Drosophila melanogaster: one gene and its partner. The main gene of each other region encodes a partner of the protein of the gene in region 2 in a complex. Each region holds a gene or a part of one and is shown on either strand. Other genes may lie near its edges.

What was found. Proteins that work in one complex are often made in the same cells at the same time.
Region 1: Tim17a2 (region 2) and ttm50 share a complex: the UniProt entries of both Drosophila melanogaster proteins name them as parts of the TIM23 complex.

What each region holds. Positions count from the first base shown.
Region 1 is NC_004354.4:2,729,053-2,735,268, forward strand, and holds ttm50 (tiny tim 50), read right to left. Parts: upstream 3,139-6,216; 5' UTR 2,997-3,138; coding exon 2,738-2,996; intron 2,666-2,737; coding exon 2,482-2,665; intron 2,426-2,481; coding exon 1,897-2,425; intron 1,838-1,896; coding exon 1,714-1,837; intron 1,655-1,713; coding exon 1,464-1,654; 3' UTR 1,025-1,463; downstream 1-1,024. Other genes in the region: dwg (deformed wings), read left to right, coding at 1-901; CG2712 (uncharacterized protein), read left to right, coding at 3,513-4,118, 4,179-4,433, 4,504-5,148; crm (cramped), read right to left, coding at 5,951-6,052, 6,125-6,216. UniProt on the Drosophila melanogaster protein: Essential component of the TIM23 complex, a complex that mediates the translocation of transit peptide-containing proteins across the mitochondrial inner membrane.
Region 2 is NT_033777.3:5,257,321-5,265,567, reverse strand, and holds Tim17a2 (Tim17a2), read left to right. Parts: upstream 1-2,875; 5' UTR 2,876-3,042; intron 3,043-6,408; 5' UTR 6,409-6,422; coding exon 6,423-7,097; 3' UTR 7,098-7,232; downstream 7,233-8,247. Other genes in the region: Hph (HIF prolyl hydroxylase), read right to left, coding at 7,447-8,003. UniProt on the Drosophila melanogaster protein: Essential component of the TIM23 complex, a complex that mediates the translocation of transit peptide-containing proteins across the mitochondrial inner membrane.

The DNA.
Region 1 (6,216 bases), on a different chromosome or scaffold from region 2:
CTCAGCGCCGCCGACCGCTGGCGAGGCGCTGCCGTACGTGTGCACCGTGTGCCAGAAGGCGTTCCGCCAGCAGTGCCGTCTCAACCAGCACATGCGCTCCCACGTGGACGAGAAGCAATACGAGTGCGAGGAGTGTGGCAAGCGTCTGAAGCACCTACGCAACTACAAGGAACACATGCTGACACACACAAATGTCAAGCCGCACCAGTGCAGCATATGCGGCCGCTTCTATCGTACCACCTCCAGTCTGGCAGTGCACAAGAGAACTCATGCGGAGAAGAAACCCTACAACTGCGATCAGTGCGGCCGCGGATATGCGGCGTTCGATCATCTGCGGCGCCACAAGCTCACGCACACGGGCGAGCGACCATACGCCTGCGATCTGTGCGACAAGGCCTACTACGATTCGTCCTCGCTGCGCCAGCACAAGATAAGCCACACCGGCAAGAAGGCTTTCACCTGCGAGATCTGCGGCGTGGGACTGTCTCAGAAGTCGGGCTACAAGAAGCACATGATGGTCCACAGTGGCGTCAAGGCGCACAAGTGTGATGTTTGCGGGCATGCCTTCACCTTTACCAGCAACCTCAATGCCCATGTTCGCCTCCATTCCGGCGAAAAGCCGTTTAAGTGCGAGGTCTGCGTTAAGGCCTTTCCCACAAAGAAGCGACTGGCCAGTCATATGCGCGTCCACAACAAGGAGTCGCCGGTGACGGCCACCGTTGCTGTTCAGTCCATCAATCCTCCCAGCCGACAAGCGGGCGCAGAAGGTGCGACAGGCGGAGGTGCGACAGGTGGAAGTCCGACCGGTGGAGGTGCGACCGGTGGATCGGCAACCAACCTTCACATAACCGAAGTTCATGAGCAGCCGGTGTCCACCTCCAAAGTGGTGATGGTGCTGTGAGCGGCCACCAAGCCGTGGGAGCGGCTCTAGAATGTAAGCCTAGGCTAAGGATTAGACACTTAGTTCAATAAAACTGATTTTTGTTCCAGAAAAAACTGAAAGAAAATTCGACACTTATTTTTTACATACATAAAAATAATTTTGTTTTCACGATAACTATCTCAGCAGGTTTAGCCACTCTTATCCATCAATTGTGATTAGATAACGCACAGCAAGTTCTCCACTTTCGTAACGAAACACATGGATGTCTTGTTTTTGGTTTTACGGTTAAGTCGTCTCTTTATAATAATAATATTACGATTAAATTGCCAAAAAACAAAAACAAGCAAGTTTAGTTATTCAATAAAACAAAAACATGCGCCTCGTCTTTTCCCAAAGGAGCAAAAGACAGAGCGTGCCTCCCAATCCTGCTGTCTGCTGTCTGCTACTGCTTCCCACTAACTACTCCAAAAGTCGACGAAAAATATGGCCAGTGTGCTGCTGCAGGGCGTGTTTGTTGCTCCGGCGCAGGCGGAAGGTTAAGGTATGCGTATGGAACGGGTTGTGCGGTATGGCCAGCCTCCTAGCGGCCGAGAATGTTGCGCGACCACTGTTTGACCATTGGCTTGGTCTTGGACTGCTCGATGCGTTCCGCCTCCAGCATTTGTTCGGCCAGCTTGCGCTGGTTCTCCCGGAACTGGTTGATGGGATCGTCGAACTGGCGATAGTAGTGGAGCACCTCGCGCACGTCGTCCACGTTGTTCTGCGCAATTACTGTAGCGAATTGCAAGGGTCAGTGTTTAGCTTTCAATGTCACTTGTGGCGCAACTTACTCTTTAGGAAAGCGATAAGGTCCAGCAGTTGGCCATCATCGTCGTTGCCATGCCAGCGGGCCAAGCCGAATGTGTTGTCCGGATGCATCTTGGTGGCATTCGCATCCCAGTCCACAACAATCACCTAAAATACTCCCTTCTTTATAGATGATTGCAATAGAAAATACGTTGTGCATGACTTGCCTTCTTGAGGTCGCGATTAAGGTTGTCCAGGTTCTTCACATGATGGCCGTCCACAAAGTGCGTGGCATCCCTGACCAGGCGGTACATAATGTAGCCGTTGGGATCGAGGGCATCCAGGATGGGGAACACGGTCATGCCCTGTTCGGCGGTGAAGACGACAATTTCAAAGTCCTTGGCGCACTCGGCCAGAAAGTGGTCGACGCCGGGACGCTTCTTGAAGCGCCAGCCAGTTTGGTAAGTCCAGTCCGGATGCACCAGCACGTCCTTCATCTCCAGCACAAGCGTGTAGCGCGGCTGCACGTACGGCGGCTTGAGCGGATCGGGCAGCAGTTTGGCGCGCGACGGCTCCTGGATCATGCGCTGATAGTAGTGAATGCTCTTCCACATCCGCTGCAGATACTGCTGTACCAGCGGCTTGTGTGTGAACTCGTCCTCGATGGGCTGCCCGTTGGGGTCCACCTCGGGCTTGCCGAACTCGTAGACGGCCCAGAATCCAGCAGCCACGGCGCTGCCTCCGAATATTGCAAAGCTGCAGCAGGAAGTATTGTTATAATACTGTTACGCATTGAATGGGCGTCAGCTTACCCCAGCTTCATGCGCTTCCAGGCACGCTCGTTCTCCTTTTCCTCCTCCTCCTCGCGCTTCTTGCGCTCCTGCTCGGCGTTGCTGTCCACCTCCGGCGAGGTCTGAGGAAAGAGCTTGGCCAGCAGCGGGGCATTCGGTGCGACCTCGGGCGCATCATTGGGGCCAGTGGCTCCAGCTTCCTGCTCTGCGAAACGAAAGTGGCCAAGGATGAATGTTTAGGACTCTACTGTTTAGGACTCTACCGTGAATCACTTACTGGTTGTGCTGCTGTAGCCACGCGCTGTGTGCAGGATCGAGAAGAGCGCCGGAGCAGCCGCTGGCAGTGCTGTGCAAGTGAATAGTCGGAGGTACTGCTGCTGGTGGTGGAGGAGGTGGTGCTGGTGCTGGTAGTGTTGGTGGTAGTGGTGGTAGTGATTACCCAATGCGCGGTGCTGGTGGATGTGGGTAAGAAGACGCGGCGTGCTAAGGCCGCGCAGCAACTGGAGGACGGTGGCCGGTGCCATGCTCATGCTCATGCTTCCCCCTTCCTTCCCGATATCGAGTCCTAGAGCCGTTCACGAGTCCTGCTCGGATGGCAGCGACTTTTTACTTATAAAAAATTCCAACAAAAATTTCAACTTCCCACCGGCACGGCGTTGGCGTTAGGGATTTTATATACTGTCCACTGCCAGGCGGCACCAGGCGTTAGTACATTTAGCACGTGGCTCTCAGCAGGTATAGATCGGCGATTTTCAAGCCAAATCTGGCGGGATTTTGCAGATAACTGCGTGTGTACATATGTTGCCTCCGGCAATCTGACTAATCACAGTATTAAGAAAATTTTAAATTAAAATATTTTAAATAATATGGAAATACACAACCTTTGACCAACCACCAAGCCACTGTGCCTCTGGTCACTTCCAAGCTGATGTGCCTGGCTAGCTATTTTGAGTGCCACCACTAACGCATCAGCTGGACTTTGGCATCACTGTTCGGGACGCTAAATTAAGTTATTTATTTAAACGTGTATTATCTACTGTCGAGTTCAATCCATGACGACCATGTCGCCGCCGTCCCCCATGGACGCCTTGTGCCGCGTGTGCCACACAGCATCGCCGCGCTGCCTGCCGCTCTTCAAACCGCTCGACGATCCAATTTCCGGCAAACCAGCGACGCTGGCCAGCATTTTAAGCTACTGCAGCGGTCTGGAGATCCTAGAGGCGGAGCTCTTCCTGCCCCACCACATCTGCCCGGACTGCGTGGCCAAGTTGCGGCTCTCGCTGGAATTCAAGCGGAGTGTCCATCGCATGGACAGAATTCTGCGGCAGAGTCATGCGGACTTTTGCCGCAGCAAAAAGATCAGCGCGGTGAATACTAGGGCCAGGCTGTCAACCGAGATTCCGGAGGATTTTGTACTCGTGCTCGATGACCAGGAAGTGACTGAATATCCAGCAGAAACGATACGAGATGAGGAGCAACTCCTGGTCGTAGAATCAGATGAGGCGGAGAGCCGGCTGGAAGCGCCAATTGTACAGGAGGAGAGGCTGGATATTGCACTGGAACAGCACGAAGACGATCTCTGCGAGATTGTCGACGATCCGGATCCGGAGCAACGTAGGAGCAGGTTAGAAAGATCCGAGCCAGCGCTGCAATGTCCCGTGAGTTGCCTTTCCGAATTAGAAGTAAGTAATCACGAAATAGTTTCCCATCTTCGGCAGATTTGCGGCAAACAACTGGCTAGGAAGCGGACCTTTCAGTACCACATGAGGCTACATGGCCAGCCAAAAATTCGCCAAGAAGACAACGACCACTGCATTGAAGAGTGCCTCCAAGTGGAGCCCGTTTTGCAGGCCAAAGCTGGCGAAGATGTCTACGAGATTGTGGAGAAATCAGCACAGACTTCGGCGACGCAGAAAACTTTGCCCAGTGGAAGCCGGCCTTGGAAACCCCTCAATCCCTCCCTACAGTGTAAAGTAAGTTGGTCATCGCAGCTCGCAAATAACTCAAAGCCGAAGGTCATCAATTCTCCCTCCATTCCTTTAGATCTGTGGCAAGCAACTAAGCACCAACAACTCCTTCAAGTACCATATGCAGCTACATGGCACGGCCACGCCCTACGTTTGCACAATCTGCGGAGAGTCCTTTAAGACGCGAAACGCCCGCGACGGCCATGTCACGCTGCACGATCGTAACAATCCGAACAGGTGCCCCACCTGCTTCAAGGTCTACCGGCAGGCGTCCTCGCTGCGCACACACCTTCTAATCCACAGCGGAATCAAGCCATTCGAGTGCAGCATCTGCGGCAAGAGGCTAACACAGAAGTCGGGCTACAAGAAGCACATGCTCACCCACACGGGCGAGAAGCCGCACGGCTGCGACATTTGCGGCCGTCGCTTCCGCTACTCGAGCAATCTGATTGCCCACAAGCGCTGCCACAGCCAGGAGAAGCCCCACCCGTGCCCGGTGTGCCAGAAGCGCAGCTTCGGCAGCACATCCGAGCTCAACCGCCACATGCTCGTCCACAGCAGCGAGCGACCGTTCGGCTGTGAGCAGTGCGGCAAGTCCTTCAAGCGCCGCATCTCACTCGCCATCCATCGCCAGTCGCACAAGGCGGGCAGACAGCGGAGGCGGGCCGAGCATGAAGTGGGTGTCCAACTGGAGGAGCAGGACGAGAATGTGGAGACCTGAAGCTAGATCGCTTATACTATCGGCTTAATGTACAAATCGGGACATTTAGTTTTAGTTCAATTCGCTTTTATTTTCGGTACTTTCCTTCGCACAATAACAAGTTTTAAGTGTGTTCCTATTGTTAGGATAAATTTGATTGGTTTTCCCACCCAAAATAATGCGTGTTTCATACATACATATATATTATATATGGTCAACAAACATTTCGAGTCTTCTGACGATCCTTTCGATTTGATTTAATGTAATGAGCTTTAGTTTATCAGGTGGAGGCGGGAGAATCTCTATACATATGGAAGTTTCGATTGGGTTTTGTAGTTGATAGTGGCTAAGGGTGAGGGTGCGGGTGCGGGTGTGGGGACCTTAAGCTAAGCTACTATGCTGCATTGAACTTACGCGCTAGAAACCAATTAGAGTAGTGCGGAACGAGTGTGCGAGCGGGTAACAAACAAAATGGGGCTGGGAATTAAAAGTGTGGATTGGGAGCTACGCGTTACGCTGCCGCGCGATACATAAAGTTAATGTATAAATAAATATATATGTTCAGACAATGTGAGTGCTTGCTAATACTTGGCATACATAAAATGAGTATAGATCACAAAAAGTCGCGTAAAAACATAAATGTTAGTGGGTATAACGTGGGTGGGTGGGATGAGTGAGTAATGAGTAATATCAGTGGGACATGAGGCTTGGAGGCACACGTGGCTTTCCTTTCCATCGTCCAGCTTGGACGACTCTCATCTCAAGATCCGGACTTGGGTACACAAACGAAGAGGACACGACCGGATTGCCGCAGTGGCCACTGCTAATCTTTCTCCTGCTGCTGCAGCAGGGCGGCGATTTCCTGGAACTTGTGCCGAAAGTCCACGCTGCTCTCGCTGATCACCGACATGCTTGACGACGGATCCTGTGGATTAGGTTAGAGGTCGGTCCACAATGAATGTCGCAAGTGGGGAGTGTGGCATGCGTTCTGGCTTACCAGTATATCCCTGGTGGCATCAATCTCATCCAAATGCCCCAGCAGCGACGTCAACGAGAAGTCATTGATATTGTCCTCCAGCCAGCGTGCGT
Region 2 (8,247 bases):
TGTAGTCCGTGGTCGTGGAGGTTATCATTTTGCCTTGATTAGTCAGCTTGCTTCTCACTGTTATCACAAGAACTCTATTACTCTTGAGACAGCTTTAAGACTGAAGTCCTATCTTTGTATCTCCACAGAGTTATTAGTTGTTGTTGTGCAGAGAAAGGGTGAATTAAGTTCTTGGCATTTGAATTGTTTCAGGATCCTTTTTTAGATACCCTGAATTGGTTAATTACTGTTCTTGGGAGATGACGGGTTCTCAAACGACTCCTCCAGAATTTCACGTGCAACTGAAGGGAGTTTATAATTTGCAGCGAGTTTTATGCGAAGGGGAGCCTCGAATTTTAGAGGGAAAGAGTGCGAGTTATACGTACACCGGCGGTTATATTATATGGTATATAGGTGCAAATGTGTTGGTGGGGAGGTACGTATTATTGCAGTTTGCATTTGTTGGGGCCGGCTGCCTATATATTTCACTTTTCGCTTTGTTTCACTGGCAGATGTTTGTTTTGATTTGACTTTGTTTATGCACAGTTAGTCACGTTTGTGTATTACTCAGCTTCGGTTAACTAATTTAAGTGAAATGTGAAGCAGCTGAACCGAACCGCACTCGTCGCCGTTCGTTTTCCGAATGCGGCAGCTGAGCAGGTCGCTCTCGCTCTTTACCGTTGGTTACGAAGGAGAGAGAGGCAGAGCGTTTTAAGAGCAGGTGAAAACAATCTAGCTATTTTATGGCCAAAAACTAGATTATGAGTGCTCGAATTCTGGTGTGTTAGTCGAACATGTGTTAACGTTTATAAATTAAATGGACATCTACGAGCAATACTTGAGGCATTTAAACCCCAGTTCAAAATTGGCTAAGGTGAACTGTACGTCTATCCCGGATTCGGAATACAATCGTTTAATACGATAACATCAAGATCGTAGAAAAGGTTTAGTTTGGACTACAAATTGTAGTTCGTTTGCTGTAACCAAATTTTTCTAGCTATTTTCTGTCCGCCTCCCAAATCCGTTCATCACTATCTCAGAGCGTCCATGAAACTACGAGTAAATCAGAAAGTTGGGGGCCTGGGAAGCAGCTAAATAATCGAAGGAGAAGCAGCCGCTTAAGGCGATAAGCAGCACCTTGGTAGGTGAGAGCAAATAATGAAAAATACGTACATATTGGTAAAAGGTAAAAGGCAGCTGCAGATAGCGAAAAACCGAACTGAACGTGCAATTTATGGGATCGGATACCCCGCAAGGTTCCAGAAAGCGGGAGGAAGCTACTCGTTCCGCTTGCCCTTCAAGAGAGTTTAAACACTCTCTGCCAAGCCAAACCAATTGCAAACGTAAAAGCGGGGAAAAGCGGAGGCAAACAGTAAGGCAGAAAGACAAGCGCAACAATCGTCACGTAGCCCAGCACACACACCAATGCGCAATTGGCACACGCACATGCGAGCGACCCATACAAACGCAAAGAAGCCACACGCACAGGCGTTAATGCGAGAGCCAAGTGAGTCAGAAAGAGATGGTCGCCAGCGAAGGGAGTGTGAGAAGGTCAGCGATAATGTAGATATTTAAAATGTTTGATACAAATATCTGCTAAAAATGCTTAAGAAACACTAACGAAGATGAGGCACAGAACGGCGGAAGCACGCGGAAGCTAGGCGAATGTGCGAACCAAAGAATTGGGTCAACGGCCCAGTTCAAAGTCGCCGCCAAACAACGTGCACGCAGAGAAATCGGGGAGACCTTTTAAAGCGCCATTAAAATAAAGAAATATCCCAGAAATCTGCCCAACATTCTGTAACCAAGATATATAATATATATAATAATATAATATATATATATAATAAATAAATCAGTCATAAAATTGGTAACGAAAAATATCAAAAGTATCTTATGGAATAGGAATAAAGATTATTCTATCTTCTGTCCTGTCTATACATTATTTATTATTTGGTAATACCCTTGGGCTAACAATAATAATAAGTCCCACACAACCCAGTTTCGAAGCAAAATGGCCACTAAACTGAACTGATTTCTTTTAGTGCAAACACGTTTTCGTGTACATTGTAATGATCGATTGGCGCCCTTTTTGTCTGTGATGTATTACGTGCGACAACGGCGACTGCGGCACGTGTACCACACCAACTCGCAGCCCTTTTGGTGGGCGGAGAAGCACCTGGGAGAGGGGCGTGGCGACGCACACGCACTGAGTGGCAGTCGACCTTGGTGACGTGCGTCTGCCTACGTAGCTCGCTCGGGCTCGCACTGGGTTCGAGATCCATCACTGGGAATCCATCACACAGCTGAAGGAGACCACAGACATGGGTTTACACCCAATTGGAAGTGGATAACATAAATAGAAAAGGGGAACCTTTAAGGAAATCCCTAGGAAATTTACGAATATTTTTAAACTAAATACCATTGCAATAGTTTTATATTTCTAATGTTTCCAATGGTTGCATAGTTCACATCGCAAGATATTCGATCTAAATAAACTTTATTTGATTTAAACTGGAAAGCACTTTCTCTGCTTTCAAAACTACATTTAGACATTCAAGTTCGGAAATGAAAAAAAATGAGGTGAGCAACGCTAAGGTGAATGCATTCTGGCTGAATCTTAGGCAAATCAAAAAGTAGCAGAGCAAACTATCCGCGAATGGATTGATTCCATATTGACTTTTCCTATCAATATTGCTGATTCAAATTGGAATTCGGTGGCGACAAGATGCGGTTTTTTCGACTTTTTCTGTTCATCGAGTTTTGCGCAACCGTATTGTTTGTTTTTCCCAGCAAGTTGCTTGACACATGTATTTTAGCACATTTCTAAACAATGACGGAATTTTGCAAGCCCCTGGAAATGAGATCACGTCGGTCCGACTGCGCTAATTGTTTGATAAAGAACAACACATCCCGCCGCAGATTGAAATCTCGGAGCTAAGGCATTCGCTAAACTCTGATAACACGATTTGAACGATACGCTTGCGTATTCCCGGCACGTAGGCAAAACGCTCCGGACCTCCCGGCCGAACGGACCACCCACCCACTTCGGGCGATAAGAAGGTAGAAAATACTGCACCTGACAAAATCGATTTGCAACAGTAACATAGAAAAATGAAGGCTTTTATTTGTGTATCCAAGTAAAAAGAAAATATCATAACTATCGGGTGGGAAGTTATCTGAATTAGTTCATATGTTGCACTTATTAGCTACAACTGCACATCCAGGAACACAAAATAATTTACTGCACAGTGTGGGGTTGATGATGACTCAGCCGGATTGGCTGAAAGATAAAATTACGAACAAATTTCTATATGTGCTCCGATGTGTGCGGTTCATGTTTGTTGTATTCGTTAATGCCGGGGTGCAAAGCAAAATAAATAAGCGAGTATTAAAGATTTGGACGCAACAAACTGCGCAACAGAATAATTACAAAGTCAGCACCTCCGCCCGGAAGAATGCGAGTCCGGCTGCGATTGCAGGTGCTATCAGATCGGGCATGGGTGCCATATACACTATGCGGCCGGGCACGTAATGCCGAAGGTAAATAAATACTCGACTCGAGAGGTGCCATCTCGGAGCAGAATGTTAGCAATCCGGAGACAGTCAAATCGCAGGGCAATTACGAATCTCATCTGACAATGCGATGAGTTGAATGGGAAAACAAACTGTTTCTATTTTTAAACTTTTACGTCTGAGAATATCGGACAGCCTATGTAGTACGTGCAGACATCAATCTAAAACCAACACCAAGTGTTTGTCTCCTAAAGAGTCCTTTCCTGGTTCCCCATTGGATTGGAAGCTTTACCTTGAACACCTGTAATATTATATCATATGATTTGTGTATACTTTAACAGCAGCAGTTCCAAAATGAGCCATGGTTTGGCTAATACAATTATACTAATTCACCCAAGCGATCTAAGATGATCTAGCAGTGCTATTCAATGTTTTGATTTGTGTTATAGGACCTTTTGCGAGGTAACTAGTATAAGCTGTATATCAACAACCAATAAATCAGCTGCGAAGAAGCTTGAGGATCGCGAAAACCATAAACTTCAGCGCCATATGAGCGATATGTCATCAGCTGTGTCATGTTCTGCTGTTGATTCGTGAGGCTTCTCAGGAGTGGGCACGTAACCGCTTATCGTAATTGACTTGATGTGCAAGTGAAGACGATAGGGGGCTACGAGCAGGAGGATGCACCTAGTGGGGTATATTTGGGGCTATAGATTTCGCTCCGGGACAAACTGCAAACGCAACTTCAAGTGTGCGGTCGGCTAGCTAATCGCGGTGCTTGGTTCAGTTACATTTAATAACTAGTTATCAGGTGAAATCATGGCTAATCAAATTCAAGATAAGCTTGCACCAAAACGTAGAAAATCTATTCTACCGAGTCATTTGGATGTTTTCAATAAGATATTGAAAATAACTCATCAATATCTGAGTGGCATTTTTCTTGTACAAGTTTTTGCTCGATCTATGTACGTTGTCAAGAAACTGTTTACACACTGTGAAATAAGTTGAATTTTTGACTTTAAAGCTAAAAATTAAGGGTTTTTTGCTTAATTAAACGAAATTTTTTTAAATAATATAATTAAACAATATTTATTTTATTTATAAATCAAAAAACAAATTCAAAATATTAAATATACAAGAAAATAAACAACGAATTCCAAGTTTACACACTTTTAAGACTGTCAAGAAACTCTTTACACATTTTGTTTTCCTACTTTGTTTTGTTCTTTTTCTTAGAACGAACTCGATTTTTCCGTTATTTTTGGCTTTGCATTGCTTTTTACAACGCTTCTATTGAAATTTGTTGACTTTGCTTGTGAAATTTTGCTGATCAAACGTGCTTAAAGCGAATTATTAAATTTAATAAAATGCCTGGAAAGAGATTAACTTTTGAAGTTACCCAATTAATAAACTATAACCACCAGTTGGAAAAATCTTTTCCAGAATTAGTATAAATGTTTCCTGTATCCCGTAAGACCGTCTACAATGTTTTAAAAGGCTCGGAAAAAGAGGGCAGGCTTGAACCTAAGAGTGGTGGTGGGCGGAAAATTAAAATTAAAAAGCGTGTAGACTGCTTTATTATGCGAATAGTGATTGCGAACCCCCGAATCTCGGTCAGATCACTTGCTCTAGATATCAGGCAAGAATGTCACCTAGCTGTGTCACACGAAACTGTGCGCCAAGTCATCCTACGCCATAGGTACTCTTCAAGAGTTGCAAGGAAAAACCCTTTGCTATCAGATGCCAATATTGAAAAGCGTCATTTATTCGCAGTGAGCATGATGGATCATGCGGAAGAGTACTGGGATGACGTCATATTTGGTGACGAAACAAAAATGATGCTCTTTTATAACGACGGGCCAAGCAGAGTATGGCGCAAACCGTTGAGTGCGCTAGAAAAACAAAATATCATTCCAACGATAAAATTTGGAAAAATGTCACTGTTGGTTTGGGGCTGTATCACCAGCCGTAGAGTGGGAAAACTAGCCTTAATTGAGGGCACAATAATTGCCGTGCAATATCTAGGAATTTTAAAAAACAAATTTGAAGGCCAGTGCAGAAAAATTTGATCTAGTTAGCAACAACAAGCCAAATTTTATATTTTAAGAGGACATGATCAGAAACATAAAGAGTGCAATGTACGCACCTGGCGCCCTTATAACTGTGGTAAAGTGATCGATACGCCCCCTCAGAGTCCTGATCTGAACCCCATTGAAAATTTGTGGACCTACTTAAAGAAGAAGGTGGCAAAAAGGAACCTAAAACACAACAACAGCTTATGACTGTAATAGTCGAAGAGTGTGAAAAGATCCCGTTTGAATATGACCTGCAAAAACTTGTCCAATCCATGAAAAAAGGGCTTCAACTTGTAGCTAAAGCCAATGGGGAACATACTACATACCAAAACTTTTAAAATTTTAATAAAATAATTTAAAAATTTAGGATTAAACATCGATTTAGTGTTTTGTGTAAAGAGTTTCTTGACAGTCTCAAAAGTGTTTAAACTTGGAATTTGTTGTTTTTTTTCTTGTATATTTAATATTTTTAATTTGTTTTTTGATTTATAAGTAAAATAAATATTGTTTAATTATATTTTATAAAAAAAATGCGTTTAATTAAGCAAAAAACCTTTAATTTTTAGCTTTAAAGTCAAAAATTCAACTTATTTCACAGTGTGTAAACAGTTTCTTGACAAACTGTATATTTCGTTTGTAGGACCATTGGTAAATATTTGTATCTAGTTAGAACGGACGTAAAAGTCGTAAGGCAACATTCTCAAAGTTATGTATAATCTATAAACACACGTTTTTAATCAAAGGCCATATTGGTCAAAAGCTGATAGCACATATTCGCAAAACAAGGAAAGTTCACTACAAATCAAGTTTTGAATTAATTACGGATTCTTTTGGTCAGTACATCACCCGAACATGGAGTACAATCGCCAGCCGTGTCCCATCAGGATTGTAGAGGATTGCGGGTGCGCCTTTATGATGGGCACCATGGGAGGATCGTTGTTTCAGTACCTCAAGGGATTCCGAAACGCTCCGTCCGGTCTTCGACGTGGCTTGCACGGCGGTATAGAATCGGTGAGGTTGCGGACACCGGCCATAGCCGGCAGCTTTGCCATTTGGGGCGCCACCTTCAGCACGGTGGACTGCGTCATGGTCTCGTACCGCCAGAGGGAGGATTCCTGGAACGCGATTGTCAGCGGAGCGGCCACTGGCGGAATTTTAGCCGCCCGGAATGGAATTCGAGCCATGGCCAACAGTGCCTTTGTGGGCTGCCTCGTTTTAGCCATGCTCGAAGGAGCTGGAGCAGCAGTGGCTACGATTTATGCATCGGATGGAGGAGTCAAAGCAGAGGAGTCCCTAATCACTGTTGACCAGCAAATGCAGAGACCCCAGTGGGAGACATCCGTTGCTGATTCGAACCTAACTGGGGCGGAGTTAGAGCGGGTGTTGGATGAATGTCGGGCATACAGGGCACACAACAAGATGCAGCAGCCTATGCGTTCGGACGCAGTGGAGGGTAAGGAACTGGGGCAACTGATGAAGCCAATGCACTCGTTGGTCGATCTGGTAAAGCTGGCCGAAATTGTCTGATAGAAAAGCTTTTAAGGTTTTAAGTCAACCTCCCATGCTTCTTCCAAATTAAGTGTTAATTCGATATTCAGCGTTAATCTTATATTATTTTTAAAAGCCCAGTAGGTACAAGGAATGATTTTCTATCTCATGGAGAATATTTTTCCATCTTCAATAAAAGATCAGCTGATATTTGATTGCATCTAATAAAATACTATGGCACTATGCAGGCTCAAAAGAGCTTCTAAGAAAAATATATCTCTTCTAGCGTGCCACCATGAGCAGTATTATAGTATTATACATTTTTAACTTATGTTTTAGCATAAAACTGTTGAAACTGAAACATCTGACCTGTCCACTGACGACCTACCTTCCTGATCCCATGAAGCTGGCATCCGCCAGACCGATTTGATAGCTGGAGCTCTTTTCGCCATTATGGTGATGATGCTGGTGCTGCTGCTGCCTTTGACCTGTTTCCGTTTCCGCAGCTGCAGCCTTCTCCTGGCTGCCCGGCTGCCCGAGGAGATTCAGCAGGTTGTCTACCTCGGCGGGCCAACTCTGCGCCTGGTGGGCAGGCGTCATCATCTGGGCGGTGGAGCAGTTGGCGCCGGCGCCGCTGCATTCCAGATTGGCAGATGCCACAGCTTGTTGCAGTTGCTGGATCTGCTGCCGCTGCTGCTGCTTATTGTTGTTGCTGCTGTTGAGCTTTTGGCGGGTCAGGAGGCGGCACTCGGTGCGGTGGTCGGGCCAATGGAGATGCTGGTGGGCGGGGGAGCAGTAGTAGACGGCCTTGCACTTGGCGCAGCGCAGTAGTTGCTGCTGAGTGCCGCAGATGGAGCAGCGCGGCGGGTCCATGGCCGATTTGGATGCGGAGTGGGAGCCGGAATGGCTTGCTGAATCCCTGACCTTTCCGCGACCCCTGCTCATTGCATTTTGCGGGAGAGGAGAGCCAAAGGCGACGACCGATTTTAACCTTGACAGCTCTCCCAGCTTTTTTTACCCCACCTCACCTACGCCAACTGAGGCAATCACACACACACACGCTCGCAGATTATGGCTATTTGTTATCAATGCGAATTACGGCACTCGGGCGTTTTAGCCAACATTTCACTTAAGACTGTTTGTGCTTATTTTAATCACGTAGGCCACCGAATTTGCCAAATAAACAAAA